7 linked regions of the Xenopus tropicalis genome follow. The main gene of each other region encodes a partner of the protein of the gene in region 6 in a complex. Links are inferred from orthologs where the notes say so. Each region holds a gene or a part of one and is shown on either strand. Other genes may lie near its edges. The genes, in order: smarcd2, smarcd1, smarce1, arid1b, actb, dpf3 and smarcc2.

Evidence for each region.
Region 1: dpf3 (region 6) and smarcd2 share a complex: the UniProt entries of both Homo sapiens proteins name them as parts of the BAF complex. The link is inferred for Xenopus tropicalis from reciprocal best matches to the Homo sapiens genes DPF3 and SMARCD2.
Region 2: dpf3 (region 6) and smarcd1 share a complex: the UniProt entries of both Homo sapiens proteins name them as parts of the BAF complex. The link is inferred for Xenopus tropicalis from reciprocal best matches to the Homo sapiens genes DPF3 and SMARCD1.
Region 3: dpf3 (region 6) and smarce1 share a complex: the UniProt entries of both Homo sapiens proteins name them as parts of the BAF complex. The link is inferred for Xenopus tropicalis from reciprocal best matches to the Homo sapiens genes DPF3 and SMARCE1.
Region 4: dpf3 (region 6) and arid1b share a complex: the UniProt entries of both Homo sapiens proteins name them as parts of the neuron-specific chromatin remodeling complex. The link is inferred for Xenopus tropicalis from reciprocal best matches to the Homo sapiens genes DPF3 and ARID1B.
Region 5: dpf3 (region 6) and actb share a complex: the UniProt entries of both Homo sapiens proteins name them as parts of the BAF complex. The link is inferred for Xenopus tropicalis from reciprocal best matches to the Homo sapiens genes DPF3 and ACTB.
Region 7: dpf3 (region 6) and smarcc2 share a complex: the UniProt entries of both Homo sapiens proteins name them as parts of the BAF complex. The link is inferred for Xenopus tropicalis from reciprocal best matches to the Homo sapiens genes DPF3 and SMARCC2.

What each region holds. Positions count from the first base shown.
Region 1 is NC_030686.2:15,729,376-15,732,712, forward strand, and holds the end of smarcd2 (SWI/SNF-related matrix-associated actin-dependent regulator of chromatin subfamily D member 2), read right to left. Parts: intron 2,634-3,337; coding exon 2,532-2,633; intron 2,442-2,531; coding exon 2,388-2,441; 3' UTR 501-2,387; downstream 1-500. Other genes in the region: psmc5 (26S protease regulatory subunit 8), read left to right, coding at 92-145. UniProt on the Homo sapiens protein: Involved in transcriptional activation and repression of select genes by chromatin remodeling (alteration of DNA-nucleosome topology).
Region 2 is NC_030678.2:148,800,767-148,804,771, forward strand, and holds the start of smarcd1 (SWI/SNF-related matrix-associated actin-dependent regulator of chromatin subfamily D member 1), read left to right. Parts: upstream 1-1,205; 5' UTR 1,206-1,225; coding exon 1,226-1,381; intron 1,382-4,005. UniProt on the Homo sapiens protein: Involved in transcriptional activation and repression of select genes by chromatin remodeling (alteration of DNA-nucleosome topology).
Region 3 is NC_030686.2:8,337,395-8,340,894, reverse strand, and holds part of smarce1 (SWI/SNF-related matrix-associated actin-dependent regulator of chromatin subfamily E member 1), read right to left. Parts: intron 2,553-3,500; coding exon 2,448-2,552; intron 1-2,447. UniProt on the Homo sapiens protein: Involved in transcriptional activation and repression of select genes by chromatin remodeling (alteration of DNA-nucleosome topology).
Region 4 is NC_030681.2:52,286,617-52,290,116, forward strand, and holds part of arid1b (AT-rich interactive domain-containing protein 1B), read left to right. Parts: intron 1-1,769; coding exon 1,770-1,979; intron 1,980-3,500. UniProt on the Homo sapiens protein: Involved in transcriptional activation and repression of select genes by chromatin remodeling (alteration of DNA-nucleosome topology).
Region 5 is NC_030685.2:46,572,744-46,576,850, forward strand, and holds the start of actb (actin, cytoplasmic 1), read right to left. Parts: upstream 2,801-4,107; 5' UTR 2,775-2,800; intron 1,740-2,774; 5' UTR 1,734-1,739; coding exon 1,611-1,733; intron 622-1,610; coding exon 382-621; intron 7-381; coding exon 1-6. UniProt on the Homo sapiens protein: Actin is a highly conserved protein that polymerizes to produce filaments that form cross-linked networks in the cytoplasm of cells.
Region 6 is NC_030684.2:106,429,046-106,432,545, reverse strand, and holds part of dpf3 (zinc finger protein DPF3), read right to left. Parts: intron 1,530-3,500; coding exon 1,369-1,529; intron 1-1,368. UniProt on the Homo sapiens protein: Belongs to the neuron-specific chromatin remodeling complex (nBAF complex).
Region 7 is NC_030678.2:137,495,662-137,499,161, forward strand, and holds part of smarcc2 (SWI/SNF complex subunit SMARCC2), read left to right. Parts: intron 1-423; coding exon 424-554; intron 555-1,434; coding exon 1,435-1,506; intron 1,507-1,931; coding exon 1,932-2,045; intron 2,046-2,257; coding exon 2,258-2,411; intron 2,412-2,713; coding exon 2,714-2,833; intron 2,834-2,954; coding exon 2,955-3,017; intron 3,018-3,120; coding exon 3,121-3,379; intron 3,380-3,500. UniProt on the Homo sapiens protein: Involved in transcriptional activation and repression of select genes by chromatin remodeling (alteration of DNA-nucleosome topology).

The sequences.
Region 1 (3,337 bases), on a different chromosome or scaffold from region 6:
GAGTATAAAATGCTGTACAAAAGCCGGTTTGGATCTCACCCCTTTAAAGTGCTGCATTTTAACCATGAATCTCTTATCTTTCTTGTACCAGGTGATGCAGAAAGACAGCGAGAAGAACATGTCCATTAAGAAGCTGTGGAAGTGATTTTTTTTTTCGGTTCCCATTACACTCTGCTCCCAGCTGAAGCCCTGCAATGTCAGCCTGTTTTGATTATTAAACCCAGCGTTCCCAACAAGGCTCGCAGTAAATTATCAGAAAACTCAACACAAACTCCTGTAATCTAAAGATCTTTAACACCTGGCTTTCCAGTTTTTTTTTTGCTAACAGGGAATGCTGGGAGCCACAATATGGAAGCACCCTGAAGCCTATTATTCTAGGAGACCACGCTTTCTCTATAAATTAGACTATTCCATTGGGCATTTAGTACGGCGGGATTTTGGTTTTGTAACGGATATGTGTATGTTATCTCATGTGAAATAAATACAAAAAAACAAACTTAAAAAAAACTTATTTTTATTAAACATTGAAACATTTGTGCCAACAAAAACATTTAATGTTGAAGTACATTCAGCCCCAGCTCCCCAAGCGCTATGTCTGTAAACAGCATAGGTATGATCATGGCTTGTGTGATTAAAATGCATATTGCAGGGGGCAGGGACACACAGGCATCCAAATAACTTGCAAGATCGTTTCAGATTTTTTTTTTTTAAAGTAGCCTGTGACTCTTTAGATGCTGCAGAACTGTAGCCAACGCCTCACCAGCGTCAGATACTGGGTAGTTCGGCAGCAGCTGCAACACACAATTTGGCAATATCTGGTATACAATCTGTCAACAATAAATTTTAACAAGCATTAAGAAACTGTAGAACATATATAGCGCACACTCTTCCACATTAAAAGGACAAGCTACACCAAACAGTAAATGAAATATTTACTTCCATATTTTGTTTTTTTAAAGTTTATTGTCTTCAGTGTAGCCTTAGAAAATACATATTCAGGGTCTGCCCCCAAATTACTTTTTGTAGAATGAATGTGTATTTTCATTTATTGGTGTCACTTGCCCTTTAAAAACCCCCTGATATGCACGCTTAGTGGCACAGAATATGTGAATTTGGTCCCAAACTAGGTTTTATGCATAGATAAATGGGAAAATTGCCCTGAGGAAATAAAACCATATGGCTATTAGCTGCAACCCGGCTACCCCTGAATCACATTCATAGCAACCCCACGTCCCCGTCCCCACAGACATTATCCTATTGTCAAAGGGGGTCATTCCATATACAAAGGACTGGTTATAGACTAACTGAGCAGAATGCCAGGTAATGCTCTTTGTCAAAGAAGGCACGCTGCCGCTGCTGGTGATATTAACTAGTGCAAAGTCTCTTTAAATATAATATAGCATGCACAAGGATACATGAACCCAAAACAATGCCTACATTTTCCTTTTGGCTGAAGCAGTTCTTTACCCTCCCCAAGCAGAAAAACAGCAGTCACCTCTCCCCCCCACCTCATAACATATAGTGCAAATAGTGTTTGCAAATAAACATGTTAACATACAAGAACAAGAATATCTGTTTGGTAGAAGCCATGCCAGTAGTGACTTACACTCACACCTAAATGGGACTGTTTGGGGAAGGGGGATTCCTGAGTTCTCATTTAATAAAATGGCATGGAGCAAGAAGGTAGGGTATCGGAGCAGCTTTGGCCCTAGTGTACCACATCCTTTATATGATTATCTGCCTATTTATTGGTGGTGGTGCTTTATTTTATACCGATCTACTTAAGGGAACTATTGGACGCAAGCAATATGGCAGCCCCCTGCTATGCAACCATATGTAGGCCACAAGGCGTTCAAGGACAAGGAAAGTCAAATTTGTATTACCTACTGATTATGTAGGGGGGCTTTTCCCACTTGACACCAGTCACCAGTTGATTCCGATTGGCAGCATCCCTACAGTGCTGCTGTACCAGATGACACTGCCATCTTGGCAAGCTGGGTTAGACAAATGCCCCAAGTTCTGGATCACACTTGCAATGCAAAAACCATTAAAGGCCTAATTCTCATGCAAAATGTCCAAGACTACAGGTCTTAATTGAACCCAGCATGTAAAGAGGGCATCACTAAATGGTACAGCCCAAGCAGGGAATTTACCAGTTGGTGACACTTAATTTTTTCTTAACCTTTAAGGGTCTGGAATATAATTTTGGAGCACAGGGAAGGTGCATCTTGAAACGGGGCAGTGATTTAAAACATAGGGAGTTGATTGGAATGTCGTACCTGAGAAATTACAACTTCCCTAAAGACTTTGTGGAGTTGATAAAGACAGGGTAGGGGGAAAGGACACAAACAATATGGAATGTATAGGTTACTGGTTCTGGCTTAGGATTAGGTGAGACGGAGCCCCAAAACCTGCTCCAGTTCTTGCCTCCGTTGCTGCACCTGCAAAAGGAACATTGAGAACAGGTTATCTGGATTATACAGATGCCAGCAAGCTCTTGTACCCACCAGGGGGGGCAGCTAAGTACCCACCTTAAAGAAGATGTGTCTTCCCACAGCTTCCTGTGCCCATGGCTGCTGATAGAACTCAGTGTGTCTCTCCTCCTCTGGGTTGCCCATTGTATCCGTCATGATCTATATAAAAACAGAACCAGCTCACCAATCAGTTACCAGTCTTACAAGCCAATAGGAGAACAGCGTTGCTATGCCCCTAGTGACAAAGCCAGTAACTACAAGGATTCGGAACTGCCAGCAGGAGGCACAAAATGCGTAAGGCTAGTTACATGATTTTTAGGGAGATTTATAATAAACTATAGTTCATTTACACAACATAAACTACTTCCAGTCTACTACTGCAGTTGTCCGGACATGTGCCTGCCTGTTATATTAAATATTATTCCATAATATTATGGAAATATAATATTGAAGGGGGTAGTTTACCTTTAAATTAACTTTTACTATGACATAGACATTGATATTCTGAGACTATTTGCAATAGGCTTATTATTTTTGGTTTTTCAGTTATTTAGCTTTTTACTCTGCAGCTCTTCAGTATGGAATTTAATCAGCTATTTGGTTGCTAGGGCCTTGTTTACCTTAGCAGCCAGGAAGTGAGGTGCTGGCACTGAGTAGAAAGAGAGAAATTAAAAAGTAACAATAGCGCTAAAAGTTTTTTTTAGCTGCTGGGGTCAGTGACCCCCATTTGAAAGCTGGAAAATGCAAAATAGTAGGCAAATAATTGAATGCTATAAAAATAAATAATAAAGACCAATTGCAAAGTTGCTTTGAATAGGACATTTTATAACATACTACAATTTAACCGCCCCTTTAATGGTCAG
Region 2 (4,005 bases), on a different chromosome or scaffold from region 6:
TGTCTTTTGCCATGGCACCAAAAACAATCCTCAAGATTTAATGCAGGCTAAATCATTGACTTTTGGGCTTCAAAACACTTGAGACTTTCTAATAATAACACTAAAATGGTCACTGTGCAAGCTTGCATGAGTAACAGTAGCTATTACAAGGCACATTGCACTAAATTAAACATGAGAGACACATAATTAGTGCAAGAGCTTTCAGTGCCATATGGGGGGTGTTATAGACAATGTGCACAGACTTGATGGCTCTGAAGTTGGCATTTTATTTGTTCAGTTTCTTATCTAGCATTAATGACTTTGGGCCACTGAGATACAGAGGAACAGGCGGGGATGCTCTCCATAATATACATAATGTTCTAGCTCCATAATATACATAATGTTCTAGCTCCATAATATACACAATGTTCTAGCTCCATAATATACATAATGTTCTAGCTCCATAATATACATAATGTTCTAGCTCCATAATATACATAATGTTCTAGCTCCATAATATACCCAATGTTCTAGCTTGGCCCAAAATGGTTCTGGGCATAAAAAGTGGCACCAAAATGCCATTAGTTTCTTATTCATCCAATAAATAAATAGCTAGTGTATTAAAGGATTAAATGACTTTGGCCCACTGATTTCAAAACATAAATGCATAGAGAGAGATGCCCTGCATAATATCCATCCAATCCCAGCCCGAAGCATTCCTGGCCTTATTAATGTCGTGTTCCCATCTTCCCGCTACAAACAGGCCACTTATTGAATACACAAGCGGCAGGTTGGAAGCATGACTGCACACAAACCCTTGGCCAATTCATCCAACTATTATAACGCCCCGCACAAACTTACAGTTCTTTATAAATACATACGAAACAACCCCATTGCCCGCCTTTTTATTGACTCAATATAAGCGCAATGTAGAGCGAAACGGCGCCATCTTTAAGTGTGGAAAAATAATAGCTGACAGTTTCAAAAGCGCATAGAGAAAACCCGCAAGTGCCCGCCAAACCAATCCCTGTCATATTGCTATTTACCATAATCTAAAATGGCCGCTTCAGGCACGGAGACCTTCCACCGCCTCACATACCATAGAAACACAGTTGTTGCCACACCTAAAATGGCGGCTGAGAGTTTCCGCTTTTTCACTCATGCCGGCTTACTAACTCCACACTAGGAGCCTCTGCCACCTTCTGTGACACGGTACTTCCGGTTCCGGCCCCATTGTTGCAAAGCGATGGCGGCGCGGGCTGGATTCCAATCAGTGACCCCGGGGGGGTCCGGTTCAGCTACGGCTGCTCTGGGTCCCGGTACCCCTGGCCCAGCGGTAAGAATGGGCCCTGCCCCTGGGCAGGGGATGTACCGCTCTCCAATGCCTGGAGCTGCTTACCCGGTAAGAGAATGTGATGTGGGATGTAGCGTCTCAGGAGGCCATCATTAAGGGGAGGGGGAGATAACGGAGTGTGAGCTAGCCATGGGGGCCAGTAGCCGCCTTCCTGCAGCTGGATGCAGTTCTGGCAGCGCGCTATATTAAGTGCGGTAGCCTATAGGTAGGGGGGCCCGCAAGTTGGACATCCCTGGCCCATCACTTTATTCCTTGGCGGACTGAGATGTAATGGGGGAGGGGTACTGATACCTACTGGGCGCCCAGTCCTGCAGCATCCCGGTCACTTCTACAGAACTCCTACTCTAACCAAAACTCTTTCTTTGCTTATTAAAAAGAAAATATAATTCTAAACAACTTTAAAATATAAAATACATTTCCTGTGGTTTTATATATATATACTTGGAAATGTCAGTCCGATCAGAAGCAGCATGTGTATTCTGGACAGTGTATTGGGGGCCAACCTGTTAGCTGATCTGTTAGAGAACTGACTTTTGAGAACAGAAAGGGATAAACATGCACTTTTCACAGCAAATATTACAATTATACATTATATTAAAACCACTGAATTGTTAATGTATGTATGTTGGAAAGTTGCTCAGAATAACATTTTCTTTCATTATGGCAGACAGTCTGAAAGGCTTTTTCATATATAAGGCCTGACAAATTTTTGTAGCCAAAGTGTTGGGCTCACTTATTCTAATCATTTATTTCAAAGTCAGTCACTGTTTTTGGTTTGTGCTGTCACCCCCCCACATAAGGTTAGGGCCACATAAATTTGTAGGGATCGGCTCAACTGGGTACTGCTAGGGGTGCTCCTTGCTGCGCATCTCTGGTCTGCCCACTCCTGATGTTTCCCTGCAGCATAGGATGCACAGAGTTGTGGAGATGGCAGCACAGTCCATGACTAAAGGGTTTTAGGGTTACCAATGGTTTCCAGTCCGTTGGTCCAGAGATTCCCTTTAAAGGGAACTTGTCACCCAGGCATAAAAAAAGCTGTATTATAAAAGTCATTTTCAAATTAACCATGAAATCCAAATTACTTTTTTTTTTTTTTTTTTTTTAACACATCCATATGCATTTCAAAGCTATGTAGAAATCTCAGCTGTCAATTATATATTGACTTCCCTATCCCTATGCGTTATTCATAGAGGCAGGCCAGATAATTACTTTCACTTTCCATCGAGCAGTCACTTTTCCCCCTCACTAATTGTGTAGCCAGGGCATGGGCATCAGGTCTCCTGTTGTGGCACATAAGGCAAGTTTTGTATAATGCCAAAATCTTGTTTAATAACCGTGCCCACAAAATGGCGCCTGCCTGCTTGCTTGCTGTGATTGTGAATTCCAAGACTGATGGACACAAGATTTACATAATTTATATAAAGTTTATTTTGCTTGACAAACACAATATAAAACAATTTGGAATTATTTCCTAGGGTAACAGGGCCCCTTGTGGGAGGAAAAAAATTAAAATGTATCATATAGTGTTGCTCCAATAGTACAGGTATAGGATCAAAATGTAGGTATTCAACTGCACAGCCTTACTGCTTCCGGACTCGATGCATCAATCCCCAATGACTCCTGCTTGCCTCTTTGCTATAGAACCTGTCATCCAGAATGCTTGAACCCCAGGAGTTTCTGGATACGTGCTCTTTTTTTCATACCTTAAGTCTACTAAATAATTTTTAAATATGCACCCCGTAGGATTGTTTTGCCTCCAATAAGGATTAATTCTATCTTAATTAGGATCTAGTACAAGGTACTGTTTTATTTCAGAGAAAAATAAATATACAAATTGTGAATTATTTGATTAAAATGTACTCTATGGGCGATGGCCTTCCTGTAATTTAAAATTTTCTGGATAATGGGTCTCCGGATAATGGATTGCATACTTGTACTACGTTTACATGCTGTTTGTATTATATTTAGCTATGTTCTCTTACTGACATTTGGGGTCAAGTGCTGTCTGTCGCTCTATGAATATATAACATTTGGGATTGCTGTTCTGATCACTCACGTTATATGGAGGTTGTAAATTGTTGATTTTTTGTTCTGTTAAAACTGTGTACTGTAATGTTTGTCCGTGTAACTTTTAACACATTACAGTATGGTGTATTTATTGTAGCAAATACACCATACTCAAAGCCTGGTGCTGCCTTATTGCTTGTTAAAAAAACCCAGAGTTATGGTGACCATGCACGGGCAGATTTAAGCCGCTGGGTCCTTCAGACCGGATTTGGCAGTTTATCTGCCATGTATGTTGACCCCCGGCCATGTATGTTGACCAGTATGTCAATACATAATAGCTAGAAGTTAACTTCTTCCTTTTCAGCTGTCCACCCTGTTAAAAGCCAGTGACTTGAGGGCAAACATAGTATGGGACATAACTGTTTTCTTTTGAACCTCACCTGCGTGCTAAGGATAAAAAGCAGACTAAGTGAACATTGGCCTTTCCACCAGCAACTCCTATTGTTGTCGGTGGAAAGACATTTCAGAGTGGTTAGACACCTGCAATAACAGAGATCTATTGCGGGAGACTGAACCACTCCATGGGACATCAGTCAAGAGATTAGAGAGCTGAAAGGGGGAAGTCGTGTTCTGTCTATTATGTTAGACATCCACTTACTCCACTC
Region 3 (3,500 bases), on a different chromosome or scaffold from region 6:
ATAAACAGTGGTGTTGCCTTTCAATCATGGGGGATCTATTTTCTCAGACTCTCCTGTAAAATTCCACAATTCCCACAATGCAATTTGAATAATTCATGTCACGGACAAAACACCGCAGTAAATATACGGCAACAGCATTGCCTTTGCTAGAGAAATCCATAACTGGATCCCCTTTAGCTTCCAAACCAAAAAATACAAGTCATACAATACAACTTGAGAGCTTCTTGCACAATGTAAATAATACATATAATGCAGAATTAAAGAAATAGTCTTAACGTGGCCATACATGTGTCGACCACTGCCACTCCCAGATGAAATGTTCAAACCTGCCCCATAGCTGAACTGATAGATACCTACAGTAAATGTATAGCAGTCTAATGGCCACATTATTCCTAAAAGGAATCCATGTTTCTCTAATGAAGAATTTCCCAATCTTCCATAGGCTCACAGTGTAATACAACCCCCCCCCTTACCTTCTACTGTAAAGTGATGAGATTCTGGGACTTTATGTAGCTTTTATAGTGGGTGATGAAGAAATATCTCTAGGAAGTAGAGGGACTCAAGTCTCAGAATTCATCACTTCATAATGGAACATGGTGAGGGAGGTATTTACACACTGAGGGGGCTATTGGTCTTAAAGAGCACTGAGACAGACTATCATGGTTCCTTTTCAATCTGTGGAATCAGGTATGTCTGTCTAAAGTTCATATAACTGTTGTGCGCTTTTTTCTTTTAAAAATAAAAGCCTGAATCATGTCTAATGAAACGGTAAATAGTCCTGTAACAGACGGGGAGATCAGTCGCCGTGCAACAAATCTCCCTTGTCGCGGGTGACTAATCTCCCTGAAATGCCATCCCACCAGCTAGAATGTAAATCGCCGGTGGCATGGGTAATGCGGCATGGCGTTTTGCCAAAATTGCCTTGATAGGAAACTTTGCCGATTTCGGCACCGCGTTTGCCATCCCACCCCTAGCCGGTGGGATGGCATTTCAGGGAGATTTGTCCCACGGTGACTAATCTCCCCGTCTGTCACAGGCCTTTTACGGAAAAAAACCCCACACCATTAGCACTGATGCTTCACAGCGCAAATGTCCTGGATTAAAATCCAAAAAAAAAAAAAAAAATATACAAAATGAGTAAAACTTTCACACTCCAGATTTAGATCTTAATTAATGTACAGAGCTATGTAGCTTGCCGGCGCTATATAAATACATGTCTTTCACTGAAAATAAACAGATGGCTTGTCAGAGGCTGAACTGTGCAGATAGTAATTATGGTAGGATGCAGAGACCCCTTTGATTCTTCATAACATAATTCTGTACATATAAATCAAGGCCTGTAGCCTCAAGGTTGCATTGCGGATCCTATTAATGGCCAGAAGCAAAAACCAGTTGAACCGACTCATAGGATAATGGCAAATTTAGAGGCTAGCATAGTCAATTTGTTTGAAACTCTGCCAGTGTGCATGCAGGGTAATTCTCTATATCCCCCAAAATAATGACAATGTGCCCAAACATGATGGCACTACGGAAAGTGCACACATTACCAGACTTACTAGCATGCTCCAAATTTGGTGAAATATAGGTAAGAAGGTGGCCCTTAACATGAAGTGCTGGCTACCAGCTATAAAATGCCTATGTAAGTATTGCCCTACTGAGTAAGGCTAATGCCAGACGAGGCGCAGGGCAGATATTTTCGGCAAGCAGAAAAGCACTTGCCGAAAATACCACACTACTCCTCCTACATGTGCCTGCACCCGAATGAATGGAATACGCTCGGGTGCAGGCACATGTAGCCGAAATATGAATAAAAACACGAGACTTTCAAACTCTTGCGTTTTTATGTGTATTTCCTGCACCTGAGTGTATTCCATTCATTCGGGTGCAGGCACATGTAGGAGGCGTAGGGCAGAATTTTCGGAAATCGTTTTTCCGCTTGCAGAAAATATCCGCCCTACGCCTCGTCTGGCATTAGCCTAAAACTTAAGGCTTGTGAACAGCATGTAAATCACCAACCCCAGTAAATATGGCTCACAAAATTATTTGTAGGTGCCCTTAAGGCACAGCAGGAATTAACCCTGCCAGAAAGCCAAAAACTAAAATGCACAGCTAATCAGAGGTAACCAGCTCCTTTACAAACCAGTACAGCAATTAGCTGGGGCTGGAGTGAAGGGCAATGGCATTCAATGCATAGACCTTAAGTTTAAATGTAATAAACATTCATGCAATATGATTATTTACAGCCCCTAGGCAACATAACCTTTAACTTCAGAACAATCTTATGTTAGTATAATCTACAAAGTGAAAATACTGTGCAAACATGGATAAATGCAATGCATTCATTTTTTAGGCACAAATAGCCACTACTGGGTTAAATATCACCCCCCCAAACACCAGCTTTAGCTGTGCAGAAACGCCAAGAGTGACGTATCTGTTCATTCTCCTACCGTTACCCTGCTGTTGCTGCCTGCGTTCCCTCCCAGCCTGTAGTTGTTGTAGGCAAGATGGCTGTATGGATTGTATCCCACAAACCCTGGTGTGCTGGGCATTTGCTGATGGAAACAAATGAGACAAAAAACACAAATGAGAAATGAGCTCAAACTAGTGGGAAAAATTCTATATTAAAAAATAAATAAATTCTGGAGATAAAATAAATAGAACACAAATGAATGTGATAAGCGTATGGCATGTAAAAGCAGCTGGGACCTTCAAAGGTGAATGTACAATATTCCGAGGGTTAAAAGGAAATTTAATCAAATTTATTGGTGTCAGACTTTAAAGGAGAAGGAAAGGTAAAAACTCAGTAAGCTTTATCAGAAAGGTCTATGTAAATGCAGCCATAAGCACTCACAGAAACGCTGCACTGACTTCTTGTGTCTGTAATTCATGTGCCAGAGACATGCAGCTCTCTGCTTTCTCCTCTCTCCTGCTTCCCCCTCCCTCAAGAATGCTAAGAGCTCACCCCCCCCCCAAGGAATGTGGATCTGAGCCAATCAGCAGGAAGCTTCCTCATAATCTAACTGAGCATGTACACTTGGTCTCGGTGAAGGAGTGAGGAGTGAGGCATTATGGGAACTTTCTTTACACAGCTCAGCATTTTTTCTTCCTGTTTGGCTTCTGATCATCTGAACAGGTGAAATATGGGGAGACTTAAGGGCACCATTGAGACAACTGAAGGTATGCCTGCGGCTTGAGATTAACTCTTTACTAGCCTTTCCTTCTCCTTTAAGGAACCACAATGAATTTGTACATATACAGGCCTGGCTGGGGGCTTGGGCCTACAGCCTGCTCAGAGGCTGCCTAGATTTCTTCGATATCATTTTAATATAACCTGGCCTGACAGAAAATCAGTACAGTAGGTTGGTGTGAGCACTTCATTTCTGCAGCTGTAAAATACACTACCAATATTAATTGTAAGAGTGCCATATTGACTAGTGGCCTTTCCCAACCACGTTTAAGCTTAAAAGATCAGGTTGTACTTAATGAATCGTGCAGAGTAA
Region 4 (3,500 bases), on a different chromosome or scaffold from region 6:
TTTTTAAGATCAAATAACCACTTACTACATAATGACACATTTAATGTGGAGGATTACCAGTATATAAAAATCTAATTAAGTCATGTTGTTTACAAAGCCTATAAAGAAATCTCAGTGTTGTCAGAGCTTAGTGTGCTTATATATGATGGTTCAAAAAAGTTTCCTGGGTCTGCATAAGCAAACATTCTTACCCAGAGCCATGTACAGTTTTTTTTTTATAATTACCTAAGTAATGAATTAAAGAAAAAGGAAATGTAATGTATTATCACCCATATATTGTGCACAGCAGCCCCCCAACCTATGACCTGAGTCAGTAAATGTAATTTTTCCTGCTCTGGTACTGATACATTCTTCTAATCTAATGCTGTTGGTCTGGGAATGCAATGTTCCACTATCTTTCCTGTACTGGTGTGATGGAGGCTGCTGTCTGGACTGCTCATGTGCACCTTAGGAGTGCCTTGTAATGTGCTGAGCATGTCTGTAGCTATGTTCGCTCCAGATAGCTCAGTTCCCTCCCTGAACTGACCTACTAGAGTTTTTCAGACTCTGGCAGCCCATTGGCCTTTCTTGGCAATCTGAAATACATCTTCTAATGTCTTCTTTTACAGCGCTTATAAATGATTTGGGGTGATATCATTCCATAATGTTGCAGAACTGAACAATACTGCAGCATTACCGTATGTTGTTTAGAAAATGTCCAACTTTCTCTACAGACGTGAGACATTTCCAGCCTTTGATTATCTAATTTTCTAAACTGTTTTGCTCCATTTTTCTACTTTAAACTTTCCCACAAGCTGCAGCCTGAAGGAAGAAATCTGACCACACCACCAGAAGAATCTTCTTTTTAAGTGGAGACTTTTAACATTACAGTTTTTCAGAGTTCAATTTGTATCTTGCAAGGTTAATTATTTACTGTAGTAAAAGCACACCTTACCACACAGGATTAAATGAGGAGCTAGTAGTCAGTGATGCAATAGCTTTTTTTTTATAGACAACATTCCAGATTCTTACTTGCTGTACCTTGCTTTTATTATTTTGACCAACTTTACCTAATTTCATAAAAGCACCTGTTTTTTTTAAAGAAATCTTGATATGCTTAATCAGTTGATAGATGATTTTGTATTTGCTTTAAGATTTGTATTCTTTGTTATTTGTTTCTTTATTATGTGGGCAAAGGAATATCTTTACTTTCTGAAAAATATCATCTCAATTTCCTTATTCTTGCATAAAAGTGATCCAGTTACCTAGTCCTGCAGCCTTTACTTACAGGCACCCTCATGCTGTTGATTTGACCCAAAAGATAATCTGATATTTTATCTGTATATCACAACCATCTTTTTTGTGTCTTTCTTATGTTATATATAATTTACATTAAGCACCACAAAGCTTTGCTTGCAAAGGCAAACTTGATAAAATAACGTTTGTACTGTCTGTAGTTATATAAGGTATGCACAGGGTTTTCTGAAGCTATGTAAAACAATTGACCATATGGCATCCATGTAGAACCATTGATGATGATAATTAATTAAATTTTAAAAACAAGAATTGTATAGACAGTGCCAATAACCCTTTCAAACACCATGAATTGCACTTGTAATGAAAATGAAGGTCGTGGTTCAGAAAATTTATAGACCAATTTTTAATGTAATAGGTGAAATATGAATTCATTAACCAGTCTGAGAAACGCCATATTAAGGTGTGTGCCTAGATATTCGTATTAAGTTATCTGCGACTATGTTAATATTCTGTCCCTCTTTTGTATGCTGCAGAAAGCAAGTTCTTCAACAACCACTGGAGAAAAAATCACAAAACTTTATGAATTAGGAAATGAGCCAGAGAGGAAGATGTGGGTGGATCGGTACTTGACCTTCATGGAGGAACGAGGCACTCCTGTTGCAAATCTGCCTGCAGTTGGAAAAAAACCTCTTGACCTTGTCAGGCTGTACTTTTGTGTTAAAGAGATTGGCGGTTTAGCTCAGGTAATACAACTTAATTGATGATTATTGTAATGGCATAATGCTTTGTCTGCCACTTACAGGTATGTGAATTTACCAGTTTCTTAAATCATGGAACAAACTGAATAGGAGAATCACTTGAGGTGTATTAAAATGGTCCACTTAATTTAAACGCCTGTTTTCCAGCTTGTGAGGAATATTTTTTTTCAGAAATATGTATCAACTACATATAGAATACATGAACATAAATATACAAATGTGCACATTCATAATTTACATCACCAATTGCTCATGTGGTTACGCAAAAAGAATACTAGCATCCTACTTTTATAGCATTTTTCTACAATTTACCACGGTTATTGCTGTAAACTCTATGGCACTGTTATTAAGTAATTAATTGTAAGAATTCAGATTCATTTCATATGAGTCTACATTTGGCAGGGGTATTGCTGAGTTGAGAATCTTACCTTAGGCAGTAATGCCCTGCAGGTTTCCAGGGGACACAAAAAAACAGCTCTTCTAGTACAGAGCGGCTCAGGGACCAGAATCACTCTGTTGGCAAACATAAGGGATAATAAAAGTTGTTAACCAAAAAATAATTTGCATAAATAAGAAAAATCCTCATTCCACAATGTAATAAACTTCATTAGACCTCTATTACATTGTGGGATAAATATAAAGGCCTACTTACAGGCAGTGTATCCTTGGTGCAAACAAAATAATCACAATAATTCCCAGGTTCACAAAAGCTATAGTAAATTTGTGCAAAGAAAAAATTTATTTACGCAAAGGAATAATTATTCACGTTGAGAATAATTTCACGTTAATGACATTCCCCATGTCTTCATTTCTGAAAATACTACTGTACCTGCTCTTGTGGCATCCATTTAAATATACTTGTATTCATTTTTACACCGCTAGGTGCTTCACATACATCACGATACTCCAAAATGAATTATTTTACATTATCTCATAATCCCTGAAAAAAAGAAAAAAAAATCAGTGGCTTTGCTGAGAAATTCCCCTGGGTGTCTGTATGAAGTGTTAACCCAGTCATAAGCAGCACAGCAGATCGTTTCCACTACAGAGACATCGGCATCCTGGCACATACACCCTTGGAGCTTTCTGAAAATAAACATATTTTCTTTCCGCATTTACAGCTCCCACAATAATACTAAATTGTGGAATAACACAGTTGCTCTTATTTTTATTGTTTTTTAAATGAGTTCTTAGCAGCAAGGCCTGTTTTAATTGAATCAGGAGCGCGTGAGCGTTTCCATGCTCTTGTACTTTACTGGGATGCAAATTGCTGGCTCCATGCATGTCTCTAATGTAAAGTGCTCAGCATTAGGGGATGCAGCATTCACAAGCCTCAGATGCCTTTTTTTATATTTATTTATTTATTTGCTATCAGCAGGTTCTTTAATAGCTTTATAACTGCAAGTGTGCGGCAGTGCGCCCCCTGAGTGGGAGTAATGAGCGTTAGTTAAAAGAGGCATATTAAGAAAATATAGGGAGATAAACCACAGAATAACCTATATGCTT
Region 5 (4,107 bases), on a different chromosome or scaffold from region 6:
CATGATCTGTAATGGTTGAAAAGGCAATTAGCACATTACCTGCATAAAGGCATCCAAAACTCATGCATGTGTAGTTTCAGAACAGCATTTGATTTTGCTGCACACAACACAAATTTAGGCAGGGCCAATGTGAGGAAAAACACAAGCAAAGTGAACTTTGAAAAACAAGCCATCATTCAGCACTTTTCACACAACGCTAACATTGTTAGTATTCTACCCTTGATGTAAAACAGGCAAATACTGAAAAAAAACCTTTGAGATTCCAGTAAACTTTGAGGCCAGGACAGCCCTGTAAGGAATAGCAATTATATAATTAAAAAACAAAAAACACAAAACAAAACCCACAACCCAAACCCTCACACCAGAAAACAGGTAACATACCTGCGTCATTTTCTCCCGGTTAGCTTTGGGATTCAAGGGTGCTTCTGTCAGCAGCACTGGGTGTTCCTCTGGGGCCACTCTGAGTTCATTGTAGAAGGTATGATGCCAGATCTTCTCCATATCATCCCAGTTAGTGACAATGCCATGCTCAATAGGATATTTGAGTGTAAGAATACCTCTTTTGCTTTGAGCTTCGTCTCCTACGTAGCTATCTTTCTGTCCCATTCCAACCATGACACCCTAAAATAAAGCGTAAGACAATTTGGACTAAATTAAGTAATTTAGTAAATGAAAAGCATGCCTTAATTCAATACTAGCCAGACAATGGAATGAATAAAGTGGATTTTCATGGACCTCACATAATGCAGACTTTAAGAGGAAATTCTAGAGTAAAAGCTCTTTTGGGCAGGGCCCTCTAATTTCGTAATACTTCCTGTCATCTTGTGCTTACAGGAAACAAGAGTATGCAAGAACATTTGCTATGTTAACCACGCCCCTGTGTATTTCACAAATAAACAGAAGTAGGCAATTTGCAAAGAATATGGAAATGTAGTGTGCAAAGTACAATATATATATCATATTAAATATCTATATACACACACTTAACCTGCACTTAATTAAAATATTTTTCCATTTAAATTAAACCACATTACACTCTGAAAAGAAATTCTTTTCATGCAGGGTTGGAAAATGTAACTGGCTTTAGCACTTACACAGCATAAGTCAATAAACAGGGTTTGTGTGGACAGTATAAAGAGTTTATTTTAAATATGCCTACTCCTAGTTTCAGCCTTGCCGAGAAGTGCCCAAAACCAGCTTAAAGGAATAACCGACACAAGCCTAGGGCACAAGAGTTGGGGGGTGCCCTAGGCACAGCTATTTATGTGATTATTCCTGCCTGCAGTGTTTATTTGAAAGAGTAAAAAAAAAAAAAAAAATAAAAAAAATTGCATCATCTTATGCAACACTTTTTGGAAACTATCCTTACGTGTATGGTTTAAAAACACTCAATGGCAAATATATTGTTACCAACATACCTATAACCCATGCAGAATTGCAGTTTTATTTGCCCCCAGATTAGTTTCACCTTTAACAGTTAAATACATAAAAAAAAAAAAAAAATGTTTTACCTCCTTGGGACAACACACTGATTTGTTAGAGGTGCTTTACTAGTTTTATTTCTAGGTTTTATTTAGACATGAAATGAAAAAGGCATGAAAAGGGCATACCTGATGTCTTGGGCGACCAACAATGGATGGGAAAACAGCACGGGGTGCATCATCACCTGCAAAGCCGGCTTTGCACATACCAGAACCATTGTCAACGACCAGTGCAGCAATATCGTCGTCCATTGTAATCTGAAATTTAAAAAATAAATAAAATTGAGATAATTATCCACCCAAATTATGAGCGCTGGTATATACCACAAGGACGCTTCCTGCCCATTACTTGCATTTCATAAGGTCTGTCACAAGAGGGCGCAGGGGTTTGCACCATTTCTGTACAGATTTAGACAAAGGGAAATCGATTTATTTTCTGTATTACCAAATAAGGCAACAGCAAAGATTTACACAAGCACCCCTCCCATCCAGCCATGGATAGTGAAGGTGTGGCAAAGAAACAAGTCACTGCTGGTATTAGGCAATCGAACCAACCGACTACCACTCCCAATGTTTCATGAAGGCAACACTACAGGACAGAATCACATACTGCAGGTGTGACTCCGTTTTTACCAGTGCAAGGACAAAATAAATATATAAGATGTAACTTGCGCTTTTGTATTCTAGTTACGGATATACATGCATATGGAAAGTCTAAACCGAAGCGGGAGAGAACTACCGCCAATATATTTTAGACAGCAAAAGGCTGTTCCGACACAGATTGCATCACACACTTATACACAATATGTAGCTTTGTGTGCAGCCTCACACTAACATCGGCAGGGAACCGCCCAATCGCACATCCCCAAGCGGCGCTGCTATTGGGGGCTCAGTTTACAGAAGAGGAAACGATACAAAAAAAAAACAAAACCCTATTTTTAAATGCAACTTACAAGTTAAACCTGCTGTAACAGAAAAATGGTTCCCCAGCTCTCCAGTATGTACAACCTACAACTTCCAGTGTCCTTTATCAATTAAGATCTAATTAAGCATATAAGGAACTGAACTTTAGCACAATTCCAGAACCAGGCTTCACGCTTGTCTACTAACAAGTCTTACCTTCAAGTAAATAACGCTACATTAAGCTACCAACTATTTCAAGCACATTATGAAAAACATAGCCAATTAGAACCAAATCATGCTTATTCTAATAATATATAGAGAAAAATAGGCGAATAGAAGCAGGAAATAGCAGAGGAAAAGCACAACAATAGCAGGCTCGGCGCTACTTGCCTGAGAGTACGACACACACACTGTCCTGTTTCTGTGCGGGCGGGTCACTGAGCAGTTGTCGGGCTAGGGCGCCGGTTTTATGCTGCGCGCCCCAGCCGGCTGCACCATATAAGGAGCGTTCCAGGAACTGGGAAGCTGATTGGCTGTAGGAACTGCGGGCGAAGGGGGCGCGTAGAGTGAGGCAGTTACACCTACTAGCTAGGATGCGGATACGTATATACACAGATACGTACATACATAGATATCAATATACATATATATGTTTCATTAAATCTACACTTAGATATACCACGCCTTATCCTTTCCATTAATTGCTGTATAATAAAGGGCGCGGTGCAGAACTCTTTCTTTTTATATTCTTTATTGGCCTGAAATGATTTACTCTCTTAAAACATGGCTTTGCAAAGCAGATAGTCTGCACGTTTATGTCTGCAGAAATGTCAGGACCAAATGCAGTTCGTTAGGATTTCTGCAGCCTGCCGAGACAGTAAGCTTTGTAACGTTACAGTGACGCACTGCATTGTGTTGCGTACAATCCATGAATACAGTGACTCGATTGCACTTCTTGTCTCTAGCGCCAGCATATTGTGATAGTGCCTAGTTATTTCTTCATGTATGGCTGTGTTGTAAGGGAAAGAAAAGTATCATTATAGCACATATTTCCTTATATAAACACTTTTAAATCGCCTTCCCTGCTCTGAGTCAGCGATACTGCTCTTTGTCCATACTTCCATTTCCTATGCAGGTCAACCATTTGTTATTTAACTTTACAGTTTACAGCTCTACAATGACCTCTGGTACTCATAAACGTATTTATTGGTTAAGCTGATACTGTCGAAGATCATCCGTCCCCCTGAGAATAAAATGCAACGTATGTAAGGAAAAAAAATCTAAACTAATCTAAAGTAAAACATTTGGAGCCCCATGCAGTAACTGGAATGTGAGCTCCCCAAGTAACCAACCCTCATATCAGCAAAGACCAAGTTTATCAGCAAAGTCTAAGTTTACTATGACTATGACCTTCCCTGCCAATCTCACTCATATGTTTTTTGAAGCCTGAAGAACATGCTTTTTCACCCAGGTGCAAAAAAAAAACAAAAGAATGCAAGGGTCAGCAAATTTAGACCCTCCTTTAAAATGGAAAGAATGAATGCCCCCCCAGCGAGGAGGCCTGAAGGGGCAGGTGTCTTAGGCCCTCTTCATCAGGTCTAGGGGAGTCCTATTTATCCCCTACCCTGAAGCCAAAAGTCCTACAACTGTAGTGGTCTATAGACTGTCCTTTACCTCAGCTAGATAGGATCCCTTCACAGTTGTGGTTTCACAAAAGCTAGGG
Region 6 (3,500 bases):
TTTGCAGATAATGCTAATGTGTTTGTTTTCAATGCATTGCAATTTTTTGGCAAGACAGTTTTGCTCATCACTAGTTATGGTCCTAAACACGTGTTCCTAAATTCAATCTGCGTTTTGTTAAACATTGAAAGGGACACTGACACCAAAAAAGGTGTTTTATGTGGATTAATGTAACATGCAATAGTAAAATTGTGTGTTCACTTCATACTCTTTATTAAAGTTTTTACAAATAGTATCAAACATTTAAACCCCTATTTGCACAACAAATAAGCTGTTTGGAATACAATGGGTTTTGGTACTGAAGGGTCAGTGGCACCAGAAAATGAAAAGGTAAAAACTGTGTGTTTGCTTGAGAGGTTTGGGTACAGTCAGGGGAAAGCCAAACCCACCAGGCGCCCTAGGCAATCTGGTCAGCTACCTTGCCCCTGCAACCTCATTCCCCCCTACCCTCTTTCCTCTCCATGTGTGTGCCCAAGCCCGTACCTATTCACAATGACTTTGGGGGGCCATTGCCCCCCCGTGCAATGATAAGCTGTGGGGGCAATAAGGGAGCGAAGACTTGGGGTAGGTAGGAGAGGTTGCTGCCTGGCACCCCCTCAGTGTTGCACTCTAGGCAGGTGCCTCTCCTGCCTACCCCTAGTTCCAGCCCTGGACAGGCCCGGATTTTTTTTAATCGTTTGGAATTGCAGCAGTTATCTGGTTGCTAGGGTCCAATTAACCTAGCAGCCTGGCAGTGGTTTATAAGAGAAATAGGAATATGAGTAGAGGATAAGTAATAAAAGTTAGCAATGAAGAAAAAATTGTAGACTCACAGAGCAATAGTTTTTGGCTGCTGGGGTCAGTGACCCCCATCTGAATGCTGGTAGAAGATTCAGCTGGTCAGAATTGGAAGGCAAATAATTAAAAAGTGATAAAAATAAAAAATGACGACCAATTGAATAGTTGCTAAATATTTGCCATTCTATAACAAACTAAAAGTTAACCCAAAGGTGAACCACTCCTTTAAGATGAAACAGGAGTTAGATTTATTCATGGCTCTCTATACTTAATGAAAATGATTAAAAATGAGAAAGAGAACCTAAGATATATCTCACTGAAAGGTCCTGAAATAACATACCATTGATTAAACACATTATTCAGTGAAATACACAACCATTTATTGGCTCAGAATTTAAACACAAAATTCAAAAAACAGAACATACTATACCAAATGGAAAGGTACATCCCAATGCCCCATGGCACCCACTCTCCTTCTTAACACATTTCGCACACTAGGTGCTTCATCAGAGGACTTCCTCTGATGAAGCACCTAGTGTGCGAAACGCGTTTCTTAATTGTTTTCATCATTTTAAATGTTTTTTAATTCACCTGGCCCCCTGTGTCTCTTTTCCATCCATATGTAACAGTTATTCTGAGCCACACCAGTCTGGGAGTCCAGGAAAGGAAGGCGGACGCTGCGCTCGGCGCATAAGCGGGAGTTGTAGCTTCGGCAGTGTTCGATTGCATCTTTGTAGAACTGATCTCCAAGCCTGCAACAAGAGAAACAGTCCTTATGCATTAGAAGCTGTATGAAGAATACTGTACCCCAACTAACAATAACATTTGCCACCAAGAAGGGTTCCCATGCTATAGAATAACTCTGCCGTACGTTCTGTGTATGAGAAAGAACCAGAGGCAGTGCCCCAGAGCCACTCAGGAACCCTGGACTCGGGATTAGAAAAGAAAAGTAATATATTGATTCCTTTCTTCCATTGTGCAGAACTGTATGTGAATAGAAATTAAAGTTTACATAAAATATACATTTTCTATGTATCCATAGCCACTGGAATGATAAATAGATGATTCCTCTGTAACTGTTGCCTGTTGAGAACCTTCAGAGACAACATGGCAGCTTTTAATTAGATATACAGTGGCTTGCAAAAGTATTCGGCCCCCTTGAACTTTTCCACATTTTGTCACATTACAGCCACAAACATGAATCAATTTTATTGGAATTCCACGTGAAAGATCAATACAAAGTGGTGTACATGTGTGAAGTGGAACGAAAATCATACATGATTCCAAACATTTTTCACAAATAAATAACTGCAAAGTGGGGTGTGCGTAATTATTCAGCCCCCTTTGGTCTGAGTGCAGTCAGTTGCCCATAGACATTGCCTGATGAGTGCTAATGACTAAATAGAGTGCCCCTGTGTGTAATCTAATGTCAGTACAAATACAGCTGCTCTGTGACGGCCTCAGAGGTTGTCTAAGAGAATATTGGGAGCAATAACACCATGAAGTCCAAAGAACACACCAGACAGGTCAGGGATAAAGTTATTGAGAAATTTAAAGCAGGCTTAGGCTACAAAAAGATTTCCAAAGCCTTGAACATCCCACGGAGCACTGTTCCACCGATCATTCAGAAATGGAAGGAGTATGGCACAACTGTAAACCTACCAAGACAAGGCCGTCCACCTAAACTCACAGGCCAAACAAGGAGAGCGCTGATCAGAAATGCAGCCAAGAGGCCCATGGTGACTCTGGACAAGCTGCAGAGATCTACAGCTCAGGTGGGGGAATCTGTCGTGCACTGCACAAAGTTGGCCTTTATGGAAGAGTGGCAAGAAGAAAGCCATTGTTAACAGAAAACCATAAGAAGTCCCGTTTGCAGTTTGCCACAAGCCATGTGGGGGACACAGCAAACATGTGGAAGAAGGTGCTCTGGTCAGATGAGACCAAGATGGAACTTTTTGGCCAAAATGCAAAACGCTATGTGTGGCGGAAAACTAACACTGCACATCACTCTGAACACACCATCCCCACTGTCAAATATGGTGGTGGCAGCATCATGCTCTGGGGGGGCTTCTCTTCAGCAGGGACAGGGAAGCTGGTCAGAGTTGATGGGAAGATGGATGGAGCCAAATACAGGGCAATCTTGGAAGAAAACCTCTTGGAGTCTGCAAAAGACTTGAGACTGGGGCGGAGGTTCACTTTCCAGCAGGACAACGACCCTAAACATAAAGCCAGGGCAACAATGGAATGGTTTAAAACAAAACATATCCATGTGTTAGAATGGCCCAGTCAAAGTCCAGATCTAAATCCAATCGAGAATCTGTGGCAAGATCTGAAAACTGCTGTTCACAAACGCTGTCCATCTAATCTGACTGAGCTGGAGCTGTTTTGCAAAGAAGAATGAGCAAGGATTTCAGTCTGTAGATGTGCAAAGCTGGTAGAGACATACCCTAAAAGCCTGGCAGCTGGAATTGCAGCAAAAGGTGGTTCTACAAAGTATTGACTCAGGGGGCTGAATAATTACGCACACCCCACTTTGCAGTTATTTATTTGTAAAAAATGTTTGGAATCATGTATGATTTTCGTTCCACTTCTCACGTGTACACCACTTTGTATTGGTCTTTCACGTGGAATTCCAATAAAATTGATTCATGTTTGTGGCTGTAATGTGACAAAATGTGGAAAAGTTCAAGGGGGCGAATACTTTTGCAAGCCACTGTAAATAT
Region 7 (3,500 bases), on a different chromosome or scaffold from region 6:
ATGGAGTAAAGCTTCATCTTCCAGGAGGCAGGACACTTGAGCAGCTAAGAAAAGGGGGGTGCCCTGCTAGTCAGGCTTTACCCCTCGTAATTCCTCTTTTGACCTCAGTTTTTCAAGTGTCCTGTCTACAGGAGGGTGTACTGTCAAATCTCTAGTGAGACCCATCGAGAGGATATCTGCAGATAAATAAACGGCTGGGCAGATGCTCTTTTAAATAGCAATGTTTTATTTAATGTATATTGGATTTTTAATTCTGCTCTCACAGGTTTATTGCCAGCCCTTTGTAAATCTGTGGTGTCCTAGAGGGGTTATCGTTTCCCCTGCACTTTGGGATTAAATGTATTAATGGATTCTCTGCTATATTTGGCAGGAAAAACATTTTACAGATGATAAGCAATGAATTTTTCACATGTATTTGTTTAGGAAGAAGATGAGACCTCATCTGGGATTAAAGGCGAGCAAATGAAAACATCCGATCTTCATGAGGACAATGTGACTGAACAAACACACCATATCATCATTCCTAGCTATGCTGCTTGGTTTGACTATAACAGGTAAAGTCTCCTCTTTGCTTTTAATAGCAATGGAACTATCCTCTGATAATCATTTTTCTTTTTTATTTGGTGAAAGGAACCTTGATTTATTGTGATGAATAAAGACAAGCAGCACATTTCACAGCACAAATAGATGATTTATGTATAACATTGTGTCCTTTATTTTACTGTTTCAACAACTCCATCTTTATTCATCATTACCTGAGATACAGGTGGGCTCTTAGGGCAATGGCACATCAGTGATCCAGGTATTTTGTAGCTTCCTGGGTCTCGATCCCCACTGACTTGAATGGCAGTGACCTGTATGTGCAAGTGCACTTGCTTCTCAGGCAGTTGTTGCTTGGAAGCAAAACAAGTCCATATACAGTATGCTTGCAGGGGAATCTCCATTTAAGTCTGTGGCTGTATCCCCTGCCTATGGAACTACAAATCACTCTGGCAATAAAACGCGAATAATTGCCCCTGTTCTGTTGCCCTTAATCGTGACTGCCAGCTGTAGAACTGGAGGTGTCAAGCTCATGACTCTCCTAGTATGTTTTTCTGGACAATTTGCACCAACACAGCCTCATGGGTTCTTTTTTTATTTTTACACAACCACATTTGGTTGAGCAAGAAACAGGGTTTTTGATGGTGGAGATAAAACATTTCTATTACATTTTATTTTTATTGATTACAGAGCAATTTAAAGTATGCTGATTTTAATCTTTGTCTCACTGTATACCTTTTATATTAAGCTTTTTAGAATACATGGCTAGAGCCTTCCTTAAGTGGGGGTTTGTTTGTTTTTGTCACCATTTTTGAATGGTAACAGACTGCTTTGCAATAAGTTAACATTATTGCTTTTATTGCATATTTATTTTAATCTCCCTTTCTCCTTCAGTGTGCATGCTATTGAACGTCGGGCATTACCAGAGTTCTTCAATGGCAAGAACAAGTCCAAAACACCAGAGATGTGAGTCTTACACAATATATGGTTATAGGTGTGGCTGATAAGAAGGCATGAAAAAGTTTAAGTGCTTGATTTTTCAGAAGTTAAACAGAAGGGAAAGGTTTAGAGTAGCAGGCCAATTCTCTATAAAATAGTTACAATAAAATATATATTTTGTTCATAGAAGAAAGTTATCTTTTAATTGGTTTAGAAGATAAATTGTTTAAAATTGGCCTTGTGTTCTTTTTCTGCTATTCAACTGCACAAGTCTTGCATAATGGAAAACTGCTTTATGTATTTATTATTTGGTAAACTAACCTTACATATACGTTACAGCACAGGATTCATTTGATGAGACTTTGTGCAAAGAATGTGTCACAGTCTCATAACCTTACATTTCACAAACCAACACAAATGACCCCTTCTGTTCTTTTTCCCTATTTTTCTAGATACCTTGCCTATAGAAACTTCATGATTGACACCTATAGACTAAACCCTCAGGAATACCTTACTTCTACAGCATGTCGTCGCAACTTGGCAGGGGATGTCTGTGCTATCATGAGGTGCGGGTGACATGGGAACGTCATCTCAGAGGATTAAAAGGCAATGATCATATGTAGTAGGGTTAGCAATGAATAGCTGTGCATACTAGAAAGTTTGGGAGCACATTATGATTTTGTATATATATTTTCTATATATGTTAGTGTTACACAGTTAATAATTATATTAAGAGGAGGATATAATTGTCCCAGCTCTGTTGTTCTTCTTGCTTTAGGGTTCATGCCTTCCTAGAACAGTGGGGGCTCATTAACTACCAAGTGGATGCTGAGAGTCGTCCTACTCCAATGGGCCCTCCTCCAACATCACATTTCCATGTCTTAGCTGATACTCCATCAGGACTGGTTCCACTGCAGCCTAAAACACCACAGGTAGGCATGACAAGGCTTTTTAGACGAGTCATTTTATGGTTTCACCTCCCTTTTATATATTCAGTGCACATGTTTTCATTACCTGTACTACATAGCTCCAAACGGCTTTTTTTTGTCTTTGGCCTATTTCATTATGATAATTTTTCCATGTCACCAGCTTTTCTATAGTTCACTTTTAAGGTGGTGTCACCCACGGCTGTTTTTCTTCTGTCAGAGAAATGCCTGAATCGCACGTTTCTCTTTGGTTATCAATATACTCTGCATCTGACATGAAATGGAATGTCTCATTTTCTTCTTTCTAGCAGAGCTCTGCTTCACAACAGATGCTCAATTTCCCTGATAAAAGTAAGGATAAACCAAGTGACCTTCAGAATTTCGGCTTACGGACAGATATGTATAGTAAGAAGAACACAACATCCAAGGTAAATCAAAACAGTGTATTTCAAAGTTTTCTTTAGTCTTTAAAATTTGTAATTTTAGGTAATACTTCTTGTTACACTTAGTGTTTAGTAATATGTGGATTTTTTTTTTTTACTTGAACAGAGTAAGGCTGCTGCCAGTGCAACACGCGAATGGACTGAGCAGGAGACGCTGTTGCTACTTGAGGTGTGAAATCTGGATATGCTTCACTGAATAAATGATTTGGCACTTAGAATTTAGTTAGATATTTTGAAAATGTATGCCAATTACCTATGCCTACCTAACACAGGCTCTGGAAATGTATAAAGATGATTGGAACAAAGTATCTGAGCATGTGGGGAGCCGCACACAGGACGAGTGTATCCTGCATTTCTTACGACTTCCCATTGAGGATCCATATCTAGAGGACTCTGAGGCCTCTCTGGGACCACTGGCCTATCAGCCCATACCCTTTAGCCAATCGGGGAATCCTGTGATGAGCACAGTAGCCTTCCTTGCATCTGTAGTAGATCCTCGGGTAGCATCAGCTGCAGCAAAATCAGCTTTGGGTTTGTTACTTTTATTTTTATTTGTTGGTACAGTCTTTGCTGTATTCAGGGGCATTTTGGCCCCTAGTGCCCCAGAAATGTTGGGAATATTAATAACCTTTAAAAGACTTTGTAATGTTTC